2 linked regions of the Lonchura striata genome follow. The protein of the gene in region 1 interacts with the protein of each later gene in a biochemical or structural test. Links are inferred from orthologs where the notes say so. Each region holds a gene or a part of one and is shown on either strand. Other genes may lie near its edges.

Region 1 (10,131 bases):
CAGACAAAAGCAGGCATTTGTTCATCACTGTCTTTACTACTGGTAGCATCAATACTTAACCCTTTGGAATCTTGTTATTTACTATACTTGTCTATTTCAAATGTATGTTATTTAGCTCTCCCACAGAGACAAAAACATGCCAAAGTTCAACACCAGACAGATTAATTGATCATTACAAGTTATTTATGTTAGTACAGGAAAAAACAGCAGCTTCTGAGCTGAAGTATAAAGAACAAAGAGTCTACAAAAGCCAAATTCCAAAGGTTTCTATGAAACACAACTCAAGCTTACATACTCTGAATTTGTCTCCATGTGTTGAGTTTGCCACCAGATGAGTAACTTTTGAGCTAAAGTCCCTTCGAATAATTCCACCCATATGATGAACCAAGGTCACAAGTTTAACCTGTAAAATGAAGATGAAAAGTTTTAAGTATCTTTTGAAGAGCAAGTTCAAAAAGTGGTTTACAAAGCAAGTTACAGAAGGTTATATTAAATGTCTAGAAATAGAAATACTCTGATCTGTTCTTAAAACAACTTGTTCACATCGACAGAAGATATGGCTTATACATCAAAAGAACTATTATGATTTATTTTTATTTCAACATTTAGTACAGCCTTGCTGTGTAGCCTGAAGACTATCCAAGCCATCAGTAGTCTCATGATCATCACACATAATGCCTTCACCTTTTCCCACATGTTAAATTTTATATTTTCCTTGCTGATTTAGACAATTCTAGATCAAACCTAACTAACCCAAATACCAGGCAAAAGCTTTTGGTTTGGATTTGGTTTTTTTCTGATGAAGATATGGAGCCATATTGTTGATTCCCAGGTGTCTAGGAGGAAAATTAGATGGCAAGTGCCTACTGAAATGGAAAAGCAAAGTCCTAGAGTATCAAACAAAGACTAAAGTCCTGATAGCACAATATCATGACAAGATAACATGCCTGCAAGTGCTATGAACAGAGCTACAAAGATTTACTTGCCCATTCTACCACCTGTACAAAAAAAGAGGACACTACTGGGTAAACATCTTATCTGAAACCTCAACTTACAAACCTTTAAGCCCTATTGAATTACAGCATTTTAATGTCACTAAACAAAAAATTGACCAAAAATGACACAGATAAAATGACTTGAACTAAGTTTTGCTCCCATTCTCAAATATCACTGCCTCTGGACTTGCAAAAAAAACAAAAGAACAAACAATTTATTCTCCCCATAAAAGCCTGAGCCATGGTTAAACCCTATGGGCGATGGAACAGAAGAGTATCTTGAAAATATATTTAACATGGTTTTACCAATCCTAAGAAGAATAAATTACTTACTAATTCATCTTTCTTTCTGAATCCTGTAAAGCACAGTACCAAGTTCAACATACTTGCACAGTACAGTGGACGGCAGGAGAAAGGTAAAGGCTGTAAACAAGAAGAAAGCTCATGCGTCAACAGCATACTGCACTCATTAAAGTTTTCACATTACCTTTAATATATTACTGTTATTTCTAATATTAAAAATCCATCAGACACTAGTCCAGGTCTGTGGTTATACCTTTGCTCCAGGCCTGCTGATAAAGTAATTAGAGCATCCCCAAGTTCTACAGATAGTACTCCATCCTTTTATTTCCTCCCCAATCCATCTGCTCCACCTTACAACTTTTGTAAATATAAAGTGATTACTGGAGATTCATTTGTATGCTGCCTTTCCTAACAGCACAATCCCAACTGGTGATCAACAACTCCCACAACTTCAGCAGCACTCAGAGCCCTACCACTGTCTGACTGCACCCTCTCACTATGTAAAATATTCTAACACAGCGTTAGTAACTTGCTTTTCTTAAAATTCTCTTGCTAGGAATGTTTATAACCGATTGGAAGAGCAAGAGAGATTTTACTGTGAACTCGCAGAACTCAGTGCAGCAGGGAGCTGACTGCAGCAGGAAGCACACACCTCTCCTTTCTGTGCACAGTGCAGCAGGACTGGCGGCCCGATGATTCTGCAATCCGCCTTGCAGAGGCTGCTGAAGACGGGAGCTTGGAAGTCGGACACGACGAAGATCGTCTCAAATTCCGGGGAATCAGAATCTCCAAGCTCTTCTATCGTGTCTGTCTTTATGTAGGGTGTTTTAATTTCCTTGAGGCACAGGGGTGAAAGGGAAAGCATTATTCAGACAACACACTTGCACCAGTGTAAAATTCAAATAAGGTTTATTTTGGACCATTAGAAAAATGTGATTCGTATTTCAGAAACAGAGTTAGGATTTGTAAAAGCTGAATGCAATGCACTCTTCTCTAGCATAAGAATAGCTATGAACTGCTGCATGTTTTACGACTGAATGTCAAAGTAATTTCTGCTTTTGAAGAATCAGAATTCCAGTTGTTTAAGCAGTTTATGTATCAGTTCACACTGACAATGTAGCACTGGAATGAGCTAGATAGAAAAAACACCCTAAGCTCAAAAGATAAATGAAATTTCAGACTGTCAGAACAGCTTAGGGTACTGTAGGATGCTACTAAAAAGCAGCATCCAGTTGGTAACAGCAAGTTCCATGCTGCACAGCACCTACAGAACAGAAATAGGTTTTGTTAATTGCTTTATATTTTTAAGGGGTTAAAAAAATTTGTCCATTCAATTTTCAAACACTAATTCCAAACTTTATCTCTTATGTCTTTCACATCAAGAAATGGAAAAGCATTTCTTGCACTTCAGTTTGAATGCAGCTTTCAGCTGAAAGAGATATCCATTGACAATTACAAAGCCAGTTCATAGCACAAACTTATGTGTGACTGAACACAAGCATGCAGCTGGATGTACCCATGGATATTGTGATGCCCCTGTTAGAAAACACCACTAGATAAGAGCTATAAGTATCACTCCATATTTTTAAAAAGTGCTAATTTTGATTAGCTGTGACACCATCAGAATCATTAGCATATATTATGACCATTATGCCAAATTAATCCAAATTAAAGCATTTCAGTCCCAGTGAAGTGTAACATGCTGCATGCAATTACATGTGCTGAATTGCATGACATACCATATGAATAATACTTTTTATTAGTTTTTCTTCTGATTTATCAGGGCTACTTTCCTTTATCTTTATAACAGGTACTTCCATTATCTTAATGGTCTGTGGAAGAGGAGAACTTTAGTCCAGAAGCAAATTGGTTACAACAAGTCTGAAAGCATAACATGTCCTTCCAGTGACTGTTTTATCTCAGGCCCACATACCTCCAAGGCTTTGAGAAGCTCCTCACGTTTCCCTGCTTCCTGAACCAAAACCACTCTTGTTTCTATTTGAGGCATTTCTTCTGCTTAGAGAGAAGCAAGGATAATATTTGTATTTTAGCAGAAAAATCTACGTCATGTCAAAATCAAGCAATAATGTATACAAGAATACAAGTAGCCTTTCAAGATTCCTTATCAGGAGCAATCCTGAAAATAACAGTTACTTCGAGAAGAGTGTCCTTCAATTAAGGCATACCAAATTGACTTAGAGCCCAAACTTTCAAGTATGAGGTGAAACAAGAATCTGCAATTCATGACCAGTCAAAGCAAGAACACAAATCAAGGGGTAGGGAAGAGGAAAGAAAACACGCAAATGAAAACTCAAAAAAATTACAGGCTAAATGCTTTTAGCAGAATTAGATACCGAGATCTGCTGGAAAATAGCCAGCTGGTATCTTGTCTAGTTTCTGTGTTCATTACTTTGTTGGTAACTGAGCAGTTACCAAGAACATCAGAACTGAAATTAGATGTTCTTTTTTAACAGGTATTAGTAAGGCTTCGAAATATTAGGAGGAAGAACAAGCATTGCCTCCACATCATTTACATCAACAGACCACCAGCAGATTTTTGGCTACTACCTTGGAAGAAAACATTGGTGATTGTTACTTAATTTCAAGATTTGTTCTTGAATTAATTTTGGGTTTAAGACTACTAATCTCTTCACCTCCCTACCTTATACGTATTAATCTATCCAAAACCGAGCAGCTGCCATTTCCAAACACTGGTATCAAAATGTCACCTGGAGTGATTTTTTCCACAGAAGAGGCATCAAATGGAACTGACAGCTTTCTGTATAATAGCCAGAAAATTCATTCAATTTGGGCTGTAACATCAAACTTTCTTAATGAAATTATCCCAGATCAACACCGTTTTCCCTACTCTATATACACTCTGGAGTTCAAAGTACTTTTGGTTTTTCAAAACTACTAAATACCAATGAAGTAATCAGTCATTGCAAAAAGCAAGCAGTCTTAAAATAACCTTCCCCCATTACCTTCAACATCCAGAACAGTTGCACGGAATACATTCTCTTTGGAAGTTTCTATAATTTTTGAATCAAGAACAGAAGAATCAGCCAAGAGGCTCCTCCCGGTTTCAGATACCAGAGTACTGCTGTCAGCCATGATTATGCTTTGTTTCTTTCTTCAACAGCTGGAAGGTGGAGGGGCCAAGCTCAGTTACAGGTGAAAAAGCTCATTCATAGAATTCTATTACCAAGGCTGTCAGAAGTGACTTCAGAAAACAAAATATTTAGGCTCTTACTGAATCCTACTCACACTGATAGAGCATCAAGAGGAACACAACTGATACAAAGGACTGACAACAAAGCTGTTACAGAAATGGTTCTGTAATTCATCAGCTCTGAGCACAGGCAAGCACAAACTCAAGTGCTCATTTAAAGAACCTTAACCACAAAGCACCAAACTAAAAGCACTTGTTTCTTTCAGTGACAAACTATTATAAGCTACAATTGAGACTAAAATTAGCATTGCTGATCTGAAACACTAGCAGAAGAATTTGGGTAAGCATAACATCTTGCTAAAAAGTGATTTTTCAGGTGAACTGGCTAGAAATACTGTGGTTAGAAATGAGCACCCAGATTTACTCTTAGAAAAATTATAAAAGCTTGAGATTCTTTGCAAAGTTGATATGCACATATATGTCTAGCTGCATGGTCTGGTTTACTGTCCTGCATTAACTGTGACAGAGTAGAAGCAGCCTTTCATTATTAGATAAAGAGGCCTCTCTCTCCTCTCAAACAGAACAGATCTGTGCTCTCCCTGCCCATCAGACCTGTCACCTACTGGAAAGGCAGAATCCTTAACCCTCTCATTTTCTGGGAGCTACCTACCCAAATCCTGCAGCACAAAGATTGCTCTCAGACACCTGCCCATTTTCGGTCACACACGAGGCAGGCAGGCTGCAGTTCCTGTGATTCAGCACACACCCAGATTTCATTGTTTGCACAGTGAGATCAGGAGTTACCTTGATCAGAGCAGCAGCTACAGCTGAGCTGCTGTCGATAATAACCCTTTGTAGCACTTGAACTGAAATCGTTCTTGTGACTGTGTGTGCCCTTTTAAACCAGCAGCTACTAAAATAACCCACTAGAGCATTGTCTGAAAGAGGGCTCTTGAGGCAGTAAAACCCCTAGAGAACAGCACATACTATTTTTTAAATTGTGTAATGACCATCCTATTACACAGCAAAGTCAGAAGACAAAAAAGCAATGGGCACTTTGGCATACCAGCAATACAGAAAAAACTTTATCTTCCAGACATCACATCTGGGACTCGTGGAAAGGATTCAAATCTTCATAATACACAAGTTCTTAATACAGTGATGAGCAATAACCAATTTACAAATCTATCATTCTAGACATATTCAGCTACCAGACATGCCACCTTAATTTCAATTTCAAGGTCACACACAACTGTACATCCTTGGAGCTGAGTTTCCTAGACCTAAGTCCCAATCACCCACCTCATTTTTCTCAGAGCAAGAGTAGAGAGTGACCTCAATCATAAAGAGTCTTTGGGGAATCACCTATCACCACCAGGAACAGTTCTACAGCTACCAGTTTTTTTGGCAGTAGTGGAGGGAGGTATAATCTTGGCAGATTCAAACCACATTGTTAATAATGATTACCACAAGGACAATTACAATGTAAATTCAGAAGAAAACAAGCCCTCCAGTTAGAGACACAACTAAACTTAAATCCTAGAAATTATTTCCTAGAAGTCTGAGACATCAGTACAGTTATTATTATACCAAGTAAAATGTCCATGAACTCACAAAGAACTTCATTTTGAAGAAGCCCAGACCTTGGTCTGGGTATTGATTTTCTTTATGGATTTTTCTAATTTATTTATTTCTGAGATTCCATCCTGGGTGTGTTTAAAAGCATTTCTTGTTTTAATAACAGCAATATTTTTTCATTAAACCCACAGACTGAAAGTGCCAGGATACAGAGGAGAACAAACAGCACACACAGACACGAACACAACAGTATTCCCTCATACAAACAGCAAAAGTCAGAACATCACTACAGGCTCCAGGCAAATCTAATACCCTCACAGCATCACACTCAGAAATTACCTCGCAATAATTTGTTGAAAGCCTGAAGGACACAAACCAAAATATGTTTGTTAAAGCAAGGACAGGACAGTAAACATCCCACGCTTCCCGAGGAACCACCCAGGAAGATTCCCGAGCCCTGTGCAGGGAGGTGGCCGGGGACGGGACGGGACAGGGCAGGACGAGGGACCGCCGCCGCCTCTCGAGCCAGCAGGTGCCGCCGGGCCCGGGGCTCCGCCCTGCCCACTGACACGGCGGCGGCCTGAGGAGCCCCGGGGCAGCGCCGGAGGCCCCACAGATGCCCGACACACCGACCCCGTTCCAGACAGCCCGCGCCCCCCGGCCCCGGAGCCCCCTCACCGCCGGTGCCGCCCGCCGCCATCAGCGGCCGCCGCCAATTCAAAAAGCGAGCCACCGCACTCACACCGCCGCCCATTGGCTGACGGCCCCACCGCCCCTCCGTAAGCCGCTCCCTCATTCGCCACAGCAGCAAGATGCCCCGCCTACCTGCCCTTCCTTTTCGCCAGCCCTGCGCCCCTGTCCCCTTCGATTGGTCGCTACAACTGCCACTCAGGCGGAGCGAGCCCCCATTGGCTGTGAGAGGTTTCTTGGGCACAGTGCTTGTTGCGGTACCAAGCGCAGGTTGCTGAGTGGCCGGGGTGGGGACGAGCTCTTCGCTGATTGGCTGCCGGGAGGGGCACGCTCTGCGCTGATTGGCTGGCGCAGGGTTCGAACGCTCGTAACGGTCGCGCTCGGAGACCCGGATGGAGCGGGCGGGGCGGGAGTGGCGCTGCCCTCAGTGCCCCTCACGGCCCCCTCACGGCCCGTAGTGCCCCCTCACGGCTCCTTCACTGCCCCTTCACAGCTCCCTCACGGCCCCGTGTCCAGCCGGCCTCCACGCCAACCCAGGGCACCAGGAGAAAGCCGCTGTGGTCACCGCAAAAACATTAATGCTGCTAAATAAGTAAAAAAAAAACCGGCTATCGGTGCGCCTCTCTTGCATTGAGTTTCAGAATAACCAGCTCGTAGGAAACAGGAGCTGCCGGGAAAATACGAGTGGTCAAGGTGAAAATCAACCAGCTGACTCCACGGCAGCAGCCCTGAAATAAATTGATTATGCCAAATGCTTAAGTCGTCCTTTTATTTTTAATTTTCCACGACAGCAGCCACGAAATAAATTAATTATACCAAGTGTTTAAGGCGTCCTTTTATTTTTAATTTTCCCCAATACTAAAGCTTACTGGTACAGAAAGGAATTCTTAGGAGCTCAGCATCCTGGAACCTGATGTAGCACAATGTTTCACTGCAAATGTAAACTCCCAGTGTAAAAACAATGAGAGATACATTTTTCTATTTCTATAATGTTCTATTATCTGTCAAACTGAACTCTTAGATGGTCCAATTTTTTTTTATACAACAAATTTTCTTCAGATCAGGCTTTTTCATGACTGATCCAGCAACTGTAAAAGCCCATTGACTTTTTATAATTTGAAAGAAAAAACAAAATAGGAAAAAGCATAGAAAATGGTAACGGGTGTTGTTTTTGTGTATATATTTGCTGATGAGGTTTACAGAAATTAGGACTATATTCCTGAGGAAAAGATTGCAGAATAACAGCCTGGAAAACAAGGAGGTCATTTCAATATTGACACTTGGGTCAAATTATTACACAATTACACAAGCCCTACAATTGCTTTATTTCACATTGACTAATTTCAATGATAACTTACAATCAAAATCCATCCCTGCCTGAGGTCCTTTTGTCACCTTCAAGTACCCACTTGGGCCATCATTTTGCAGTTCCACTCCGGGCCAGCTTTCACTGGATTTTCCACTGCACACTCTTAAAAAAGTCCTTTTCAGCCAGGTTTCCCCCACACCAGGGGTCAGGTTTCTCCTAGGTTTGCAACAAGTTCTGCAGTGCAGGAGTTAATATTACTTGTTTCTGGAAAAGATATTGGTGATTGCACATTAATTTTCACTTAATGTCAAGATCTCAAAAAAATAATAAAGTCTGTATAAAATGTGCTTGCAAAGACAGGAGAACCATATTTAATTGGACAAGGGATTAAGAGGTAATAAGAAGTAATGAGGCAATAAGATGCATCACTTCTCAGTTAAAAGTTTAAAAAATAATATAATCAATACCCAAATACATAAATAAATAAATAGAGGTGTGGTACATAAATAGAGGGTCCCTGTGCATTTGGGAGTGACTTGTATTAGCCTTTTTTCCAACATACTGAAAATCCAGAATTACAAACTGATAAAGCACTTTGGTTATTCTGGTGAACCTGGAGTCCCAGGAACAGAACATAGACAAATTTTAGGCATTAATCACTTAAAAAACATGGCTAAGTTGTTGGGTTTTTTAAGCAAGTGCATTTATCCTCACTAAAGAATAGTACAGGACTGATGACCAAATAATTACTATTTTTCATATGTCTGACATTTAAACATCAAAGTGCTTTTCTTATAAAAGGCTCGGAAATAGAAACACCCATTATTTTGTGTTCTGTGAAATGTAATAATATAACATGCAGCTGAAACCTGCCCTTCCTCCCAGTTAAGAAGGCATCAGTAACCCAGGAGTGTAACATTTATTTTGTAGTTAAATACTTTCTTCAAGCAGTGACACCCACAGGGAGAAAGTTTCAGGAGATTAAATCATTAAATAAATCCTGACACGACGCCTGCCTGAGAGCAGGGATCTCACACCTGTGGCAAAAAGACAAGGAGCCCACACTGGAAAAGCTGATGGAACCCCAGGAGGTCCAAGGAAACCTTGGTGCCCTGTGTTTCCCAGGAATTTTGGGTCCCAGGAATTTGGGGTCTCTTCCTTAGCTTCAGGGTGTGAGTTTACATAGGTAAACTGCCAGCCCCATGATGTCTTGCAAGCATCCTGGGGTTTCATTTATCTTTTACATTTTTTTTAACAAAGGGATCTTTCTCAAACCACAGTGGTTTGTTGTTGGTTTGGGTTGTTTTTGGGTTTTTTTTTCAATCAACTGACTTCTCTTTAAGCACCTGGAAGACAAGATTCCTCAAAGAGCCATTGATTCAGTTTAGCCAGCCATTTTCAGAATATGAGGAAGGGCAGAGATTAAGCACCAGATGTATGTGGGCAGCAGTTTTCAAAATACGAGGAAGGGGAGAGATCAAGCACCAGATGTATGTGGGGGGTCAGTGGGAGCATGAGAAACCTCAGAAAAATCCCATCCAACCTTTTTATTCCTACTTTGAGGAGATAAGTAGCTGGAGAGGAGTGAGGCTCAGTTTTGCCAGAGTTTGGGGACCAATGAGTTTTGTTGGAAGAGATGGGTACCAATTATTTACACTCGGTATGCTGAGTGTGGGTTTTAGGGGCAGGAGCTTGGGAAAGCAAAGGAACGGGGTAAGCAAAGCAAGGCAGGCAGAGGAGCAGGGCACAAGGTGAAAGAGAAGGTGTGAGCACAAAATAATACAGAAAAATAAAAATCTGGAGGGGACTTACCCTCTGCTGCTTTCTCGGCAAAGCTTGTTTTATCCCTTCTGTAGTCCACCCAAAAGAACTGTGAAAACCACAGAAAATCCATTTGCTTGTTGTTACTAAAAAAGATTAGAGATGCTTGAGGGCCTGACTTTCTCACTCATTCCAGAAACATTCTTCTGCAATCTTTAGAATCAGTGAGGTCGTACTTCAGTTCCAGGAACGCTCCACTAAAAGCTGACCTTTTAGTTTGTAGAAACATATTTTTCTTATATTACGTTTTCATGTCAACTTTT
Region 2 (11,007 bases), on another chromosome or scaffold:
TGACAAATACACCAGTGACAGAACTGCTGTGGCCCCGGAAAGAGGCAGGAACTGTGACCAGGTGTACACGAAGCCAGCTGTGACCACCATACCTGGTCTGCTGTGTTGCTGATAGATCTGGATTTCTTCTGAGGAGCTGGGGGGCCTTCAGCAAACTGCCTGGAAGAGCGCTGAAAAGAGAGCACATTCTTTTCTCAAAGCAGGAATGCTGTTCACTTGGCATTACACTGGCCCAGGATGGCTAGAAGGACTGAACACTTCATGCATCTGTGGTGTGTGCTGACAAGTCCTTCAGGGGTACTGCTTCATGGCAACCTTGGAGGTGCCAGAAGAATTAGTGAAACTCTTTCAAATAATTTTCCTAGCCAGCTTCATCATTCAGATCAGAAAAAAAAGAAACTGGACCTAAGGAAGGAGGACAAAAAAGCCCCAACAAACCCATGAACTACACACAAAAAAAACCAGCAATTAAGCAAGTCCCAGACTCTTCCCAGCTCCACTAGGTGATGGTTTCATGCTCTTTCTCACCTGTATCTTCTGCAGATTAAAGCAGAATGAGCACAAGCTCCTTTACAAAATAGAAAAATGTAGCTTCCTACACCATTTTCCCCTAATCTGGGAGCTGTTAATAATCTCCGAGTGTTTTCTTGCAAACCCCAGACTGTAACAGCACAGGATATACTAAACTCCACTTATTTTCAGTAAACAAATGACTTCAGACCTAAATTTCAATCTAAACCCCCACAGTAGGAGCACAAGGTCTGTTTTCAGTGGCTCAGAGGTCACTACAGGTGGCTGTGAGGTGACAGATGGTGGCATTGTGGCAGCCAGGGGGAACAATGGAAACTATGTGACAGGAACAATTGAACAATACCCGCTTCTCTCGCCTCTTCAGCCTGACAGCTTTCACCACCGAAGAATCCCAGTCCTGGGGGAAAGACACAGCATTGGTTAATGGTAAATACCACACAGCCCCTGGCCAGGGCTTTCATCAAACTTTAGCCAACAGCAGGCTCGGAAATGCAAATCAGCTCAGCCAGGTTAATATCCCAGTAATCTAAACACAAAGGGTCTCTGGAGATCAACCCCCTCCCCTCGGGCTTTACAGGGGAGGAGAACTTGAGAAATGGAGTTACATTACCAGTGAGTCATCGCTCTTGTCAAAGCTGATGTCTGACAGAATTGAGCCAGATTCATCTATTGTAGACAGCCTAAAAAAACACAAATTAGAAGAAGCTTGTATCAGTTTGGCTTTCAGTCAGTCACGGTTCCAGAACAATCCCACTGACTCAGAAGAGCCGTATTTTAAAGTGGAACAAAAAGGGAAACTGCTGACATGGGTGCAGGATGTGTCACAGGGGCCGACAGCTGGATTGATGCCTGACACTTCAGATGAAATGCTGTTTCCCTACCTTTTGTTGCCTGCACTTCCCACTGAAGCCTGTGGCCTGTTCAGGAAGGCGAGGACAGACTTCTGCTCCTCGCTGAGCTGGATGCTGCCGGAGGCATCACACATGAGCAGCTCCCGAATCAGCTGGATTTGCCTCTCCTTCAAACAAAGATAATATCAGCAGCTGGATACACCGTGTTTAATTACTGTAAGACCCGACCCAGCGCTTGAGATAGCCGAGATAAGCTCTCAGAACTTGTGTCAATGGACTGCTAATGGCTGCAGACAGGTAATGGCAGCTAGGTTCCATCAGCAGCCAGTCTCCTTTCCCAGATCAAAGCAGCAGGCTGCTCCGAGGAGCCGAGCCAATTCCTTGCTTTTTAGTTTTCCTTTCCTCCCCATGGGTGCCAGTCCTTATTTGCCACTGATCAGTGCAGTTTAATCGCCTTGTCTCCACACTCTCAAGAGCTGAGGGGTAACACAGGAATTACTCACCAGCTTCTCACAGTCCATTTCAGCTTTTTGCCTCCTTTTGATCTCCACGTCCACCTGATTGCGGGCATGTTTCAGTTTCACGTCCAGGGCACTGCGTTCAGCTTCTGTCTTCATGAGGCGATCTTTGCACCTGCTGAGCTCCTCCTCTATTTTCTGCCATTTCCTCCGGTTCTCCTCAAAGTTCTTGGCTAACTGAATAAACTCTGAGGAGAAAGCACATGAAGCCTTAGCTGGGCAAGCAGAGGAGCAGCTAACAGCAGCTTCACAAAGAATCCCTGGATTCCTGAGGTTGGAAAAGACCCAATCCCCACCTTGTCACCCAGCCCACAGCACCACGTCCAGCCATTCCTTGGACACCTCCAGGGATGTGTCCAAACCTCCCTGGGCAGACCCCTCCAATCCCCAACTGGCTTTTCCAGGAAGACATTCTTCCTCCTGCTCCCAACTGAGGCATGGAGAAGCCAGCCACACAAGAGATGGCCATGAGCTCTTCCATTTCTCATTTTTTTCTTCCTTTCAGCACCACCCAGAAGAGCTGGAACACAGGACAAAGCCAGTTTGCTACAAGCAGAACGTGACCCTGCATGGAAATTCAGCTGGGACTTGATGTTTCTCCACAAAGGAAGAGCCCAGATCAGTCTGGTTTTAGCATCTTCAGCAGATTCTTCAGGGACAAAACTCACGGCATTCGTTTCCTTCGCTCAGAAGCTCGGCCTGGCGCGTGAGATGCTCGTACAGACCCCGCAGGTTCACCATGGCAATCTCCATCCTCCTGCCAAAAAAACACAGCTGAACAAGCAGCTCAACCCTTCCCTCCCACCTCCGAGCAGAAACCAGCCCAAAGGAAAGAGAACCAGCCTCAGAGTTACTGGTTGTAATGCTTTCAGGCGGGTTTGAGAAGCTGCACAAACAAAATTCATGTTTTATGGAGATATATGCATCTACTTTTTCTCATTGGGAATGAAAATCTACAGCCCTCCACGGTTTATGGATAACAGAGCCTTGGAGAGAGGCAGATCTGCCCACCTTAGTGCTTCCACTGTCCCGCGGCACAGCAGAGACACTCACAACCCAAGGCAAGATGAGGGATCCCAAGTCCTTCCCTTCAGAAAGGTTACAGAACACAGCCCATGCCCTGCCCACAAATAACTTGGTACTATCTAGGCCACTAAAAACCTGCAAGTTTTCAGCACTTTGTAAGATAAAAATAGGAGCAACATTCCGGGGAATTTTAATACAGTTTTATATTTAGCTGCATTTTAACTTACAGCTCCTCCTGCAAATAGCTGTTAAAATTCAACCAGTCAGCACATTTCTCCCAAACAGCAGCAACAACGGCATAAACAGAGGCAGCGAAGGGGAAAGTCTCCAGCTCAGCAAGACAGAAATGATTTCACAAATGAGAGAGGAGCAGGCAGGGCACCAGGGGCTGGGAAATGAGCGAGTGCTGGAAGGCTTGGGAGAGGTGCAGGGCACATAAACCTGCCAGCACAGAAGGCTTTGGGGTACCTGTTCCACAGGTACAGACTTCACAGGGGCATCAACACCTCGATACTTTAATAGGTGCAATACGAGGCGAGAGGAAAAGCTCTGCCCCCGTCGTGCGAACGCACAGCGCGGGGCACGCCCAGCTCGGTGCCTCAATTACCAGCACCAGCATCACCATCATCACCAGCATCACCATCACCACCATCACCGCGACCCCCGAGGCCGCAGGGACGGGAGCAGCCCGGCCCGTACAGCGCCCTCCGAGCCGGGCGGCCGGGGCTGCGACAGCGCCGGGATGGAAGGGCCTGGGCGGGCCCGGGATCCTTCCCCCCAGGGCCCCCCTCAGCCTTCAGGATGCCCCGCAGTCCCCTCAGCCCCGGTTCCTCCGAGCCGGTCCCCGCACTCACCCGAGCCCCTCAGGCTCCCCCGAGCCCCCGGTTCCTCCGAGCCGGTCCCCGCACTCACCCGAGCCCCTCAGGCTCCCCCGAGCCCCCGGTTCCTCCCAGCCGGTCCCCGCACTCACCCGAGTCCCTCAGGCTCCCCCGAGCCCCCGGTTCCTCCCAGCCGGTCCCCGCACTCACCCGAGCCCCTCAGGCTCCCCCGAGCCCCCGGTTCCTCCCAGCCGGTCCCCGCACTCACCCGAGCCCCTCAGGCTCCCCCGAGCCCCCGGTTCCTCCCAGCCGGTCCCCGCACTCACCCGAGCCCCTCAGGCTCCCCTCAGGCTCCGGCGCCCGGGCCGCGGCTCCGGCCCCAGCGGCGCGCGCAGCCCCAACGGCCCCGCGCTCCGGTTTGAATCCGCGCCGCCAGCCAATCGCCGCGCGCCCCGGCTCCCCCCGTCCCCTCCCCCTGCCTCTCGTTGGCTGCGCTCAGTGGGCTCCTTGAAGCCAGCCCGGTGCCATGTCTGCTGAGGGCGCGGTCTGCCTGCCCGGCGGGGCGCGGCTGCCCGCGCGCTGAAGCCGCCCAGGTGCCATATTTTGTGATGGCGGATGGTGCCAGCGCTCGTTGCTTAGCAACGGGGACGCCGGGAGGGCCCGGGACCCTCAGGCCTGGGCCTGCTCCGTGCCCACCGCTCCAGAGGGGCTGTTCGGGGCAGGAAAAGCCCTTCTCAGGCCAAACCGGGTTGTTATTTCCAGCAAAGCCACGGGCGCAGGGCTCGTGTGGGCCTGAGCGCCCCGTGCTGGTTCTGCAAAGGGTCAGGGCAAGGGGCTGGGTGCAGCGGGAGAACGTTGAAATTCACCGTGAGGCTGTTTATGGGGTGCTGTCACTTGAGAAATACAATGCTTTGCCTGCTCCTCGTCTCCAAACTTTGATTTGAGTAACAGCCGGCAACTTGCGCCAAAGGCAAAACCCATTTCAAGCCACGTATGACTCTTCCCTGTGCAGGCGTTTAATATGCAAACAGATAAAACCCAAACCCAACAATTACACAAAGGGAATTCACATAATCATAAAATAACAACGTGCTTTAATCTTTTAAATCTGAAACAAAACAGCGGGTAATTGAAGAATGGATATTAGCAATTAGAAAGCGGAACTAAATGCTGAAAATTGCGCAGTGGAAAAGGGAGTTTGTAAAGCAGATTGCTCTCATCATCCAGCTGCTTTGTTGGAACTGCTTTATTTAGGGTATATAGTTTGTTTTAACTTAATAATAATTAATTTGTAATAGATTGTAAAAAGCCTTAGGATCTTTGGGAAAGTAAATGTTACTGAGGCTTCCTTGAAGAAGAGAGCCAAAATTATCCACATTTATAGGGGAACTGAGGCCTAGAAGAGACACAACTCATCCTCAGAGCCAATGGCCAAGCGAGAGAAAGGTCCTGACCTTGACGTATTAACTTTTAGTCCAGGAAATCACCCAAAATCCCAATTTGCCCCTGAAGTTGGAGGTTGACAGTTACACCTGGCTCTGTGCAGGTACATCCCCCCAATTGTGATGAGGCTCGGCTGCTTCAGCCCCGAGTCTCCTGCAGCTCCTGCCTGTAATTAAATCTTCACAGCTAAGATGCCTCTATTGGCAGATTGTATTTATAGGCAGGCGAGTTGTTTTAGTGTCGTTCTGAAGAGTTAAGGAGGCTTTTTGCTCATAAGCAAATTCTGTTCTCTTTCAAATCGTCATCCGCAATCTCGTGCCAATAAAAAAAAAAAAGCACATTATTTTAGATTATTGCCCCCGCGGTGCTTGTTGTGCGTTACTGCAGTAGGTGCTGGGCTTGTGTTACACAAATTGCATTTCTTCCATATGTGTTCCACCATCGTCCTCCCTCTGAATCGGGAGGGCAGCAGGATCTGAGCACCCCAAAAAGCTTCTCAGAACTGCCCCAACCTGTGCTGTGGACCTGGCAAATGGGCCCCTGCTCTCAGGCCCAGGCTCTAAAACCATTGTGGAGTTTCTTTCCTCCTCCTTGGTTGATGAATGATGAGAGCACAGAGATCAGCAGCACCTTTCCTTTGGAGCTTTATTCCACAGGAGAAGAAAGGCAGAAGGACTGAGGGCCTTTTCAGGAGCTGCTTTATGGCAAAGTAATTATATTCTCTTTTTGTTTGTGTCAGGAAGAGGGGGGGAGAAGCCTTGAAATGTCTCATCTGGGAAACCGTTAATAGAATTTATGCTAATTTGATGATTCCGGCGATTACTGGCGGAAGCACTTCACATTCTCAGGCAGCAGAAATTCTCCTCCAGCTCCTCCCTCAGCCTCGCTGGGTTGCTCTTCAGCCCTTTCTCCTCCAGCCACCCCAGACCCTTCTCTGGGCAACACCGGCTGAGCCCGGAATGTGACCCTGGGATGAGACCCCAGGATGTCACCAGGATTGGTGCTGATGCCAGTGGCATTCCCTGGTGACCCCATTCCTCAATTTTTGGGGAAAATGGAAGGAAACCTGCCCCAGTGCCTCGCAGTGTGCGCAAAGAGCAAAGCCAAACCTCTCCCTGCCAGCCTCATCCTCTGGTGAAGCTTTGCAAACACCGATTGCTCTGCCCAGCTCCTGTAATTAACTCTGCAATTGCAAACCCATTTGTGCAGCTTTGTGCACAGGGGAAACCTTTATTAAGTTCCTTTTAATCCAAAACCAGTTAGACCACGATGGTCTTCATAAACAGTCATTCAAAAAATAAAAAGGCAGGGGGAAGCGAGGGGAATGAGAAACTTTAAGACAGCAACCTTTCTCCAGGGAAAAAAAATGGGGGGAAATTATCTTAGGTGCATTTCTCTTGGTTCATTCATACAGCAGGGGTGTTAAAAAGGAGTTGTTCAGTAGTGTGAGGAAAAAATCCATCAGGCTGGGCAGGGGGGGCAGTTGGAGTTTAGCCAGAGGGAGATGGACCTTTTAGAGAATTAATTTCTGATTTCTCCTGGCTGGCCAGAGCCAGAGGCCGGCAGATGGCATCAGGCTCATGTGCTGGGTGGGAGCTGCAGGGCCTCGGCCATCCCTCAGCTGGGCAAAATGTGGCCAGAGCATCACCCACGGGGGCTGGCAGGAGGGGAATGAGGAGCCCATGGGGTTTGTAACGAGGGGATAAAGGAGCCCATGGGGTCTGTGGGGAGGGGGATGATGAGACCATGGGGTCTGTGAGGAGGGGGAAAAAGGGGCTCTGGTTTTGCCATCAGTCCAGCAACAAACCAGGTTCATCTGTGATGTCCCACCTGAGAGAACCCGGGATGTTTCTTTCATCAACTTTGGGGTGAAGATCACTTGGATGGGATGAGCCAAACCCACCGGTGCATTAATGCCAGCAGAGAAGCCACGGCCTTACCCTGAACTCCTTAAAAAACAAAGGGAGTCTCTATTGCCTTCATCTGGCTTTTAATGAATGACCTCTTGTCGCCGGGAGCTGCGTGCGGTGACAAAGGACCTCTGTGGGCCGATATTTATGATTTCATTTAAGCCGGGGAGTAAGCTAAGGGAGAGGGCTGGGAAATAAAAGCTGAGCTGATGGTTCTGTCTTTAAACTCAAGGGATCTTTATCTAGTTTTTGTATTAATACAGTTGTCATCTCTTAAATATTTGAGCGACTCACAGCCATGAACGCTCCCACGCCGGAGGGACTCATTGACTCCGGCTCTCCCAAGCCCACACCCTCCTCTGGACCCAAATGCTGGGAGCAGGGAAGGGTTTGCATTTTCTCAGTGCCCCCCAAACCCTACCCACACATGAAGCCTGCTGTGAGTGCCCACGACCTGCTTGTGGGGGGCCCCGGGCTCCAACACCCCTCCCCACACCAGCGACTTGCCAACACTGATAAATTTTTGCCTTTTCCTTCGGCAGGCCTTGGTGGAGGATTAAACAGCTGGGAGTCGGGAGTGAGAGCGTGTCCCCTCTCCTTTGCCATGCAAACAGAGAAAATTAATCTTCCAGCTTCCTCTGATATTTGGGCTGAATTACAAGCTGGGAGCGGAGATAAAGCGCGGGCGAAGGAAGGCACAGGTACAGCGGAGCCAGGCTGCTGGCACAGGCCTTTGTCCATGCAGATAACGCTCCCCTCCTGGAGTCATGCATAATTCACCAGCCTGCCTCCCTGTCCTGGTCATCCCTCCCTCCTCTTGCTCGCTCTGTTCTCCCTGAGCAGCTGGAAGCTCCATGTCCGAGCGAGCCATCGTGTGTTTGTGTGCAGAGACACATCAAATCTCCCTGACAGCATGGGTCTTGTTGGGACAAAGGTAAAGGGACCTTGTGCCCTCTGCCTGGAGGCTGATGGAGCTGTGGGTGACACCTGTGCTGGCATGGGACACTGGTGTCACCCTGCAGTCACACCTGCAATCCATCCAAGGCACAGCAGCACGCCCGCTCCTGCCAGGGCCGGGGCTGTGTTTGAGATGCCCATCACATCCCAGCTGTGCTAACCACACTATCTCCCTAAATCCCTCCACGTTACACTTGGAGAGAGGTTACATCCTCCGGGATACCTGGCCCAGCATTAACAGACACCAACTGCATTTTATTTGGTCGATCATCCGGAGGCTCTTGACAGAACTGTGCCACACAGAGCGGGAAAGCCATGGAGGTTTTCCACAGCCACCAGGAGTTCCTCTCCCAGAACAAAACAAGAACAACCTCGGTCACTCCCAGCCAAACAGCAAACAAACACACACACACACACACACCTGCTTAATGATTTTTGCTTTGTAAACCAAAGCGGTGCCATGAGTTTAATAACCACTGCTTGGGAGTAATTGGGGCGATTATTGTATGGCCCAGGGGGAAAATTGCAGCTTGTTATCTCCAGGGAGTAGCATTAGGATCCAGCAGATAATCAGACCGTTATTTGTTGCACTTCAGAATGACATTTCTCATGGATTTAAAAACGATAGTGATCAAGGCATGTTGTCAGAGCCACTGCCAAACTGCAGAGTCCAGAGACCTGGAAGCTAAATAGCACCTGGAGCTGCCTGGGACAGCTGCTCTTCCAGCAGGAATAACAGACTTATGTGCCACATTGAGCTCAAAGGCATCCAGACCTCAGCAACACTCGTCTCTTCTTTACTTTGAGATTCTCATAAGAGAGACAACACTCAGGATGAGGATGCAAAGGGAGGATATCAGCTCTAGCATGCCACCAACCAGATCTATACTCATACTCGGGTTTCTGTGAGACCTTCCCTCCTGTTTCTCCCTCTCCACCCCAATCAATGGCCTCTGCCTGTGCCCTCACCTCCAGCAGCACTGAAATTTGAGGCTTGGGCAGGAGCTGCAGCATCATTGCTGTTTTCTGCATGGTCCTGCAGAGACAGCAGCGCTGGGCACCTTCCCTGTGCCACGACCCCATCGGTGACACATCTTCCTAAGATATTTGTGCACCCCCAACAGCAGCAGCTTTTAGCCCCTCAAGGGTTTCTGAGCTGGGGGAGGCACTTCCAGCAGAGACACAGCGGTGACACAGTTCCCAGTGACATGGTCCCAACAGCTCCTGGCACCCCACACCGTGCTCACCCAGCTCCCACGTGCAAAGTGGGTTTTTAGCAAGGCTAAACCCTGCCAGAACCCCTGGCACACTCTCTTTTGTATGTTTGCTGAACAGGAGCATCCCCAAATCCTGGCTTGGGCTCTGCTCCCAGGGATGGGCTCACAGATGACACGGCAGCACCTCAGTCCCAACATGACGCCAGCGACGAGGATCCTGCCAGGCCTGGAGAGCTGAGCCAAGGCAGCTCCGCTATTGATCCCCGATCAATGACAGCTCAAGGCCTGGAAATGACAGCGCCTTTCCCCATCCTCAGCTCCCAGCCCAGGCTGGAGGCTCACACAGAGGTTTAGCAATAATCCGAGGCAGCAGTGGGGATGGGAAGAGCCTCTTGCAGCAGGTGGGTTGTTCAACAAATTGGACACATAACGAGACAAAAGGCACAGAGGAAGGAGATCTGGTGGGACCGGACCTTTATCTCTGGCACGCTGGCCGCCAAATCTTTGTGCAATATTTATCAAGGGTGAGCGGACAGGAGAATTGGCAGTCGATGCATAAGTGAGGAATTAAAGCCACTGCCATCCTTATCTCCCCGGCAGAGCAGCGAGGGGAAGGGTGGGCGGGAGCTGCGAGCCAGCCCAGGGCAATCGACTTTGAAACCATTTGTGGATTTAACGAGTCCAAACTTTATTAGCTCAGCTGAAGGGGAGCAGAGCAGAGGCACCAAGAGGGCAAACCAGCACATCCACATCCTCGGGCTGCCTGAGCTGAGCGCTGCCTCCGGGCAGGCATTTCCACTGGAAAGTCTCTTGTGTCACTGATCAGACATTGCACGGCTGGGGGACAGGGCAGAGCCGCCCCAGAGGCTCCAGGTAATGGGTCTGTGGTCTTTCAAGCCGAGTTAAAATTCACTTTTAAACAGAGGAGCTGCTGCACTTTCTCTCCTAGTTTCTCTCAGCAGTGAGACAAGGGCAGACCATGCTCTGCCCTCGGGATAGTCACGTTTTGCACGGTCAGAGGCGCAGCTAGTGGGGAGAGCAGACACTCCTCGGCACTTCCAGCCACCCTGTGCATCTGCCCCAGGAGACACAGCCGGGAAAAGCACAGGGGAAGGGATGATAGAGCCCCCATAACCACAGAGCTCCAAGCCAGTCCATCGAGGGGGTTTGTGCACGAGCCATCCCCAGGGAGGGCAGCTCAGCCCCCGGCCGGGGGCTGCGGATGGCGAGCAAAGGGCTGCTCCATTGCCAGCATCCCCTGGGAATCCCCAGTGATCGCATAACGGCTGTAATTAACTCGATTATTGGCTTTTCTTTTGCTGAGACTGCACGTTCAAGATGGGCTCCATCTGCTCCTTGCATGGGCCTGGCTGCCACGGGAGGGGACAAAGCCCCTCCTTCCAGAGAAATGTGTCATTTCTGCCGACAGGGGACAAGGACAAGGCCATGCTGGGGGGCAGCAGCAGCCCCTGGACAATGGCTGTGGGTCCAGCTGCCCAACTCCCCCAGCCCTTTCACCGCACACCAAACTCTGCCAGCCAGCCTTGTCCCCCTGGGCACCCACCAGCCCCAGAGCCGGCTCCGCCGGGGCCATCAGCTGCGGTAAATTGTTTAAGGGGATTTGCATCTCTCTGTTTAATTTCTCTTCGATGCAAATAAAAGCCCAGGAAGCCAAGTGGGAGATGCTGGACTGCCGAGTACCGGGTGGCTGCTGGGAGGAAGATGCGCCGTTCTCT

What was found.
Region 2: the proteins of ECT2 (region 1) and RACGAP1 form a complex in vitro, tested with the Homo sapiens proteins (3 studies listed by BioGRID and IntAct, with this or other methods). The link is inferred for Lonchura striata from reciprocal best matches to the Homo sapiens genes ECT2 and RACGAP1.

What each region holds. Positions count from the first base shown.
Region 1 is NC_134612.1:22,322,927-22,333,057, forward strand, and holds the start of ECT2 (protein ECT2), read right to left. Parts: upstream 4,423-10,131; 5' UTR 4,413-4,422; coding exon 4,283-4,412; intron 3,312-4,282; coding exon 3,232-3,311; intron 3,131-3,231; coding exon 3,038-3,130; intron 2,134-3,037; coding exon 1,951-2,133; intron 1,419-1,950; coding exon 1,329-1,418; intron 404-1,328; coding exon 296-403; intron 1-295. UniProt on the Homo sapiens protein: Guanine nucleotide exchange factor (GEF) that catalyzes the exchange of GDP for GTP. Promotes guanine nucleotide exchange on the Rho family members of small GTPases, like RHOA, RHOC, RAC1 and CDC42.
Region 2 is NC_134629.1:8,761,177-8,772,183, forward strand, and holds the start of RACGAP1 (rac GTPase-activating protein 1), read right to left. Parts: upstream 4,130-11,007; 5' UTR 4,071-4,129; intron 2,658-4,070; 5' UTR 2,654-2,657; coding exon 2,569-2,653; intron 2,089-2,568; coding exon 1,886-2,088; intron 1,550-1,885; coding exon 1,413-1,549; intron 1,212-1,412; coding exon 1,142-1,211; intron 929-1,141; coding exon 875-928; intron 171-874; coding exon 93-170; intron 1-92.